2 linked regions of the Danio rerio genome follow. The main gene of each other region encodes a partner of the protein of the gene in region 2 in a complex. Links are inferred from orthologs where the notes say so. Each region holds a gene or a part of one and is shown on either strand. Other genes may lie near its edges.

Region 1 (4,141 bases), on a different chromosome or scaffold from region 2:
GGAATTAGGAGATTGGATGACATTAAGAGCGGTCTATCAGCTACTGTCATCTGAATTCTCATACCGAAAAAAATTGCTTTGAAATATGTAAAATAATCGATGAGCTTACGCGCTTCTTTGATGATGTACAACCAAATTATGATAAAACGTTATAATATATGTATATATTTGAAATAATACATGTATATATTTTATGTTTGAGTGAAACTAAACTATTCAAAATAGCATTGTCGCTCGTGATTAGACAGTTTCATGCCAGTTTTTCCCTTAATAAACGATTACCATTTATTTAATTAAATAATTATATTTTAAATTAGTTAAATATAAAAACTAAAAGAAATATAAATGTAATTGTTTAAAATTATGAATATGCTTTGATATCTGTGCAACTAACAAAAGACAATTTATGAGTTATCTGTTTATGCATAAAATAAACAAAAAAAATAATTAAAATTAAGCTTTAACTATTATATTACGAGTTACATCAAAAATTCTTCGATTTTTATTTATTATAACCTAATAATATAATTTATTAATGTAACCTTTATTATAATGTTATTATAACCTTATTCATTATGTAATTTATAAATGTAACCTTTTGCATTATTATTAGGCAAAACGTTACCTTTAGGTAAAAGATTTTAAAATTATGCAATTCAATGCATATATACTGTAAACCTAATTTATTATTATTATTTTTTTAGCAGTATAAGTAAAACAAAACACTAAATTTAATGATGAATTAATGATAAAATGTAATGTCAAACTGCTTTGTATATTGTTTACATTGTAAAAAGGGCTAAAGAATTAAAGATAAACTAAATTAACTGAAATGTACTTCATAATTTTTTCTTTATTTTTCAAGAAACCCTTAGTGTTACTGTATATTTTAGTTCTTTTTTTTAAATTCCTTCTACAGTGCGGAGCACCAATTGGCCACAAATTGTCATAATGTTGGCCCGCAAAGGTCTTTTGCCTGATGGGTTCTTGTTAACGCGACTCGCTGAAGATGCACAACCCAGCCGCATCCGGCCAAAGTCACAAAGGGCACGTTTTATCACCAAGAGCGGCTCATGTAATGTAGCCCACAAGAATATTCGAGAACAGGTGAGATTTTCCTATCAGTTCTAGGCTAAAGAAAAGTTTCAATTGACTCAGTTGCAGTGTTCATAAGAGATTATTGCTTCTCAGGGTCGGTTTCTCCAAGATGTGTTCACCACCATGGTGGACCTGAAATGGCAGCATTCTTTGCTCATCTTCACCTCAGCGTTCCTCTGCTCCTGGATGCTCTTTGCCATGGTGTGGTGGCTCCTGGCATTCGCTCATGGAGATCTAGAACCTCGAGATCCCAATGAACCCGGACCTGTGCCGTGCGTCACATCCATTCACTCCTTCACTTCTGCTTTTCTGTTCTCCATTGAAGTGCAGGTAAGGATCAATCTGGATAGATATGACTCTGTTTCCATCTAGAATTATTATGACATGCATTTTCAGTAATCTAAATATTTTAGACTCCGCATACATTTTTATTTAATGTCATCCACTTGTGATTGGACTGACTGAAACGTAATACTAGTTGTCAAAACTGAGGGAGAATAAACAATGTAATATTTTTGGTAAACTATACCTTAACAGCGCTGAACAGGATGTGAAGTAGAAGTTGACGTCAATCTTCTGTGGAGGCGGGGCTTATCCACTCTATTACATCATAGAGTAGAACATTCAAGAATCTGTTATCTTCAGACTGCCTTCAATATAATCTGTATTTAGAGGAACCACAAAGTGTTCAGTTCTAAAACTTACAGGATATTTTTAGAGAACTATGAGCTCTTATATGTAAAAAAAAAAAAATTAGGTGATTTTTAGGTTTCACAGTTCATGACCCCTTTAAATCGTCTGTAAGATAATGAAGCATTTGTAATACCAGGTAACTATTGGTTTCGGAGGACGAATGGTGACAGAGGAGTGTCCGCTGGCCATCATAGTCCTCATCATCCAGAACATTCTGGGCCTGATCATCAACGCCATCATGCTTGGCTGTGTGTTCATGAAGACAGCTCAAGCCAACCGCAGAGCAGAAACCCTCATCTTCTCCCGCAACGCAGTCATTGCCCCAAGGAATGGCAGACCGACATTGATGTTTCGTGTTGGAGATCTGAGAAAAAGCATGATCATCTCTGCCAACATACAGCTGCAGGTGACAGATGTGTTTATTTCTTTACTGATGTATTTAAATCATTGAAGAACCTTAACATCCACAGAACCTTCTATTAGAGAGTTCTTCATTTTAGTCCTTTAGATCAGTGTTTCTCAACCACGTTTCTTTGAGGACCACACGCTTTGCACATTTTCCATGTCTCCTTAACCAAACACACCTGATTCAGACCGTCAGCTCATTAGCAGAGACTGAAAGACCTGTAATTGGTTTGACGGACAAAGGAGACATCCAAAACATGCAGTGTTGGTGGTCCTCCAGGAACGTGGTTGAGAAACACTGCTATAGATCTTTAATATGTCCTTCAAACTAAGGTTATTTAATCATTATTTTATCACCAGGTTCAGACAACATAAAAGCAAGGCATTTGATGTCAAAATGATGGCAGATATGTAGCTTTAAAGATAGTATAAATTCTGCCTTAAAGGGACAGTTCACCTTAAAATTAAAATTCTGCCATTACTTGGCAGAATGGAAATCTATTCAGGCATCTTGAATGCAAGAATTTAGAAATTCGACATGGAGAGTGATTTTCATACACATTGATTATCATAACAAACACAAATTATGTGAAGTGTGAGCCAAAAATGCTTTATATATCATGTCTGTACCAGATATTCTTGAGTTTGATTCCATCCTGATCTTGATATTTGCTCCTCAGGTTATTCGGCGGACAGTGACAGCGGAGGGCGAAGTGATTCCCGTCTGTCAGTTAGATATCCAGGTGGAAAACCCTCTCAGGAGCAACGGCATATTCCTCGTCTCTCCACTCATTATCAGTCACACCATTGACAGAGGGAGTCCACTGTACGAGCTCTCAGCGCAGTCAATGGCTACCGAAGATCTGGAGATCATTGTCATTTTAGAAGGTGAATAGAGTCTACTTTCCAGTACTGGGTTGTGGCTAGAAGAGCATCTGCTGCATAAATCATATGGTGGAATAGTTGGCGGTTTATTTCCCTGTGGTGACCCTTGATAAATAAGAGACTAAGCCGAAGGAGAATGAATGTTTGATTGAATAGAGTCTGCTTAATGTAATTGTTTTGTTTAAAAGCCAAAGTATTTTTAAGGGATTATCATAGATAAGCTCTCTAATATGTGACCCTAGAGTACAAAACCAATCATAAGTGTCAATTTTGGGAAATTGAGATTTATACATGATCTGAAAGCTGAATAAATACATTTGTCATTGATGCTGAGATGCAACTATTTCAAAATCTGGAATCCGAGGGTTTAAAAATATCTAAATATTGGGAAAGCTGCCTTTAAAGTTGTCTAAATTAAGTTATTAACAAAGCAGGCCTGTAGCCAGGGGAGGGTTTCAGGTGGTTCAGAAGACCCACCCCTCATTGACAAAGGCCCATAACTACTATGTCATAATAAGTTGTGAAAATAATCCATGGAAAAAGGCTTTAACACCATGTGGAATCCTGTGTTGGTTGTTGCGTCAGCATGACTGAGGAAAGTTGAATGTGCGGGACGGTTTGCTTTTTATGTTAATGATATTTAAATAACAATAGGCTAAAGTTTTTAATTTAAAACTTTAACAAATTCCTATTTTTTCTAATGATGCAATTGATGTATATGATGTAAATGATAATTGATGTAAACCTTAACATCAAAAATGTGGTTATGATGACCATCAAACAAGCTAATCCAGCAAAAAAATAGTGCTTAAAATGTTACAAAAATGCAACTTATTTTAACCTCATAATTACATAGAAAAAAATTAGGCGAATAAATGCAAAATGGTCAACTTTTTAAGAAAAAAGATCCACACCCTTCACCAGGCTGGCTACAGGCCTGTAATGCATATTACTAATTGAAAATTAAGTTCTGACATAGTAGACTCTTATTAAGAGTATTGTCTTAATCTTATTAATGTCGGACTATTGGTGTCCCTGTTAACATACTCTACTTCTAATG
Region 2 (3,655 bases):
CACCATGGCATGACTCTTAAATGTAATGCAAGATGAGACTCTGATTGGTTTAATGCACAATATGCTCAAAACACACCCATAACTAATTAAGAGAATAAGCTCAACCCTGTTAGACCATGCACTGGGGCGCAAAACATATTTTTTCGACCTTAAAATAGCAAAATGTGGGTTCGGACACACCATGCGCTTTAGACTTTGTGCTTGGATCATCAAAATAGAGCCCTAGGAGAGTTGCAAAATAGGCTTATGTTTAAAAAAGTCAAGTTTAAATCTGAACTAACAAAAATTAAAAAAAGAAAAAAAGGTCAAACCTAATAACAACAGAAAAAAACGAACATGACAGTACTGAGGAAAAGACGTACTGAAGTTATTGGCGAGTAAAGGAGAGGCAGAGACAGGAGCCTGAGAGAAATGCTCTCTTCTGCTGCGCTGCTGCTTCAGATTCTGAAGAAAAAGAAGAAAAAAAAAACATTATAATAATTCACTCATTAAATTCAAGTAGTATACAACAGAATACAGCTTGCCTGAAAGCTAAAACAAACATGAGGACAATGATAAGAGATAAATCGGTCAAAGTTTTATTTTTTTCGTTTTTAGTCAGTCTGCCCCGTTTTTTGCTTTCTATTGTTTTTGGCATCTTCACATTGATCATAATTAAAGTGCATTGGCTGCCTCCAATTTGAAATCTAAAAGTTCATTGTGAAAAAGCAAATGGACATCTAGTTTGTGAAGTCATGTTCCCTATTAATCTTTTATTGAGTTAAAAATGCTTTTCAAAAATGGCGACAAGAATTGTCAAAACTAACCATAAGGCTTCTTTTACACTGTGCCTCGCCCTGGTTATCATCATTCTAACCACCACTTTTAACTCCTGGGGACTGCACTATGAAGCTAGATTAGCTGGATAGCCAGTTATGCTTCTGTTTAAATGACACCATGAACATAACAAAGGTAGCTCAGCTGCTCCATAATACCAAAGATTTATTTGAGTCAAGCTGCCTTTATGTTACCTAAAACCCAAGACTGGTGCATCGCTTAGTTGGTTAGCAAACTAATCCATCTTCATGGTACAGGCCCCGAGGTCATGTCGAACCAATAACAAGAAATGAGCATCATGTAACCAGCAGTCAGTGAGAAAAAAGCAAGTAATATTAAAAGATGTAAAGCGTGTAAACTGGAGTGATTAGGAGATGTTCAGATGACAAACTTTGCTTTTTTGTAATTGATGACACGTTAACATACGCCGTGTAAAAGGTTACCTGTTGTTCGTCTAATCAGCAACATTGACAATGCAAATGAAAACATTGGATCGCACTTTATTTTGATGTTCCGTTTGTTGAATTTAAGTTACATTGCATCTACATGCCAACTGATTCTCATTAGATTATAAGTAGACAGTTAGGTCGGGGTTGGGGTTAATGTAAGTTGACATGTACTTGCCATGTTTCCTATAGTCAGTTAAATGTCTGTTGAAGGAGCATATCAACAGATATTAAGCAGACAGTCTACTAATACTAAAATGGACCATCAAAATAAAGTGTTACCAAACATTGACACTGTGTTTAGGACTGTTTAGTGCGAAATGTCTGTTAACGAATACCCCAGATTATTCATTAAAGCCAGGTGTATTAAGAGTAGTGTGAAACTTGATTATAGATAACCCAGGATTCAGTTTATCCAGGATGTAGGATGACTACAGGTTAACGGTTTCAAGCGTAAAAAGCGGTATAGATGCACTGTAAACACTTTTGTATTGTGTAACTAAAGCACAGAATAAACATAAAAAAAAAAACATCACAGAAATGATGACATTATTAAATTATTAAGTGCTACAATTGCCACTTAGCAATGGACCTTTTTCACAAGGATGTTATGACCTATATAATGGTCATCATAAACTGAAATACAGGAATATTTTGACTTTTAAAAAATTATAATACGCAAGTACATTTATATGCATTTCCGCATGTACACAACCTGACAAAAGTCTTGTCGCCTATCCAAGTTTTAGGAACAAGAAATAATAACTTGACTTCTAGTTCTTCTAGTTAATTTTCTACCAGAAGTGGCTTATATAAAATGCAAAGGCCTCTAGATTACGCTTAATTTACCAAAATAAAATATGATCATGCTTTGATTTTTAATCAGTGAATTAGGACAGTAAGTTCCGACTTTGCTTAAACAAAAGACTTGTCACTTAACAGAAATAATGTACAGTATACAATATAAAGCCATGGTTTACTCCATGATGCAGAGGCTGAAGTATGAAAAGGATCGATATCCTGCTGATCTTTCACACATCTCGCTATCTCTCACGCCCCCATACTGAATGTAACCCCAAACCATGATTTTTCCTTCACCAAACTTGACTGATTTCTGTGAGATCAACTAGAAGTTGAGTTATTATTTGTTGCTCTTAATACTGGGATGAACAACAAGACTTTTGTCAGGTAGTGCATTATTTAATCTTTGCATCAAATTACCTCTTGTGCGTTTGTAATGCAGCGTGTATGAGCAGAACAGTAAATTTGACGTTGTTCTCTCTTCTGGCTGCTGTTATCAGTCTCACATAATTTTTTTGCTTATTCTGAAAGTTTTGATAACACCATTGTTGAGTCTTTATTTTATTATTTCAACAAATAGTTTGTTGAAATAATAACCATTCACTGAGCTCTAGGTTTACCCAAATGACGACTTCCGCTACTTAGAAATCCAGAAATATGAATTGAATCCACACAAAAAAAAAGCAAAAAGAAAAAAAAAAGAAATGATAAATACATAAAACTCACCTCTGTTCTCACTTCCAGAACTGACTTGAAATCATTGGACATTGATGCCAGCTTAGACTGCAACACAAACATTCCCAGATAAGACTGTTTACATGGTGAACTGTATTGCGTCAGAAAAATGAAAGGTGTGGCGGCTTGTCAAGTCATCTGATGTCAAGCAAAACGAGATCCACCACCCCTACTGTCTACAGCGCAGGAAATGTAAGATAAACACAGAAAGAGTGGAATGTCAGATAGGAAAGTGTACCTGCAATGAGACGACAATTGTGTTGGAATGTGTCTGTATGTGGCGGCCATTTTGCCCACTGCGGGATCGCACAAGGTCTTGCAGCTGTGCTATCTGCTTATTCAGACTGTTGATATCCTGATGCGAGGGACAGACAGATAAAAAAAGAGACTGCATCAGATCACTGCTAGAGGCTTGATCTTATACAGGATTCTAGTAAACAAAATTATCAACACTTGCCATCTTTAACATCAATGTAAGGACAAGCAGGTACTGAGATGTTTTTCATTGCACTGGATATGGAGAATGACAAGTCTTTACCAACCTGTTTAATGATGTATGTTAGCTCCTCAATCTCCACTGCTTTATCATCAAACAAAGACTTCCTTTTGGCCACTAAAAATGAATGGAGAATAAAACATTACATTGACAGCAGACATGAACAATGCAATATCTAACAGTTACAACAATATCTGGTTATTACAAACAGGTCAACATTACAAAGATTGGATTTTTTTTTTGTTGGTAAATGAATTTATATTTATATATATATATATATATATATATATATATATATATATATATATATATATATATATATATATATATAGCTTACCTGACAAAAGTCTTGTCGCCTATC

What was found.
Region 1: stx5a (region 2) and bet1l share a complex: the UniProt entries of both Homo sapiens proteins name them as parts of the SNARE complex. The link is inferred for Danio rerio from reciprocal best matches to the Homo sapiens genes STX5 and BET1L.

Annotation. Positions count from the first base shown.
Region 1 is NC_133200.1:8,372,383-8,376,523, forward strand, and holds the start of bet1l (BET1-like protein), read right to left. Parts: upstream 2,877-4,141; 5' UTR 2,827-2,876; intron 2,198-2,826; coding exon of another isoform or gene 1,928-2,197; 5' UTR 1,925-1,927; intron 1,761-1,924; exon of another isoform or gene 1,699-1,760; 5' UTR 1,628-1,698; intron 1,467-1,627; 5' UTR 1,429-1,466; coding exon of another isoform or gene 1,192-1,428; intron 1,108-1,191; coding exon of another isoform or gene 952-1,107; exon of another isoform or gene 920-951; intron 1-919. Other genes in the region: kcnj11l (potassium inwardly rectifying channel subfamily J member 11, like), read left to right, coding at 952-1,107, 1,192-1,428, 1,928-2,197, 2,877-3,084. UniProt on the Homo sapiens protein: Vesicle SNARE required for targeting and fusion of retrograde transport vesicles with the Golgi complex. Required for the integrity of the Golgi complex.
Region 2 is NC_133189.1:9,156,710-9,160,364, reverse strand, and holds part of stx5a (syntaxin-5a), read right to left. Parts: intron 3,412-3,655; coding exon 3,341-3,411; intron 3,154-3,340; coding exon 3,037-3,153; intron 2,847-3,036; coding exon 2,790-2,846; intron 445-2,789; coding exon 363-444; intron 1-362. UniProt on the Homo sapiens protein: Mediates endoplasmic reticulum to Golgi transport.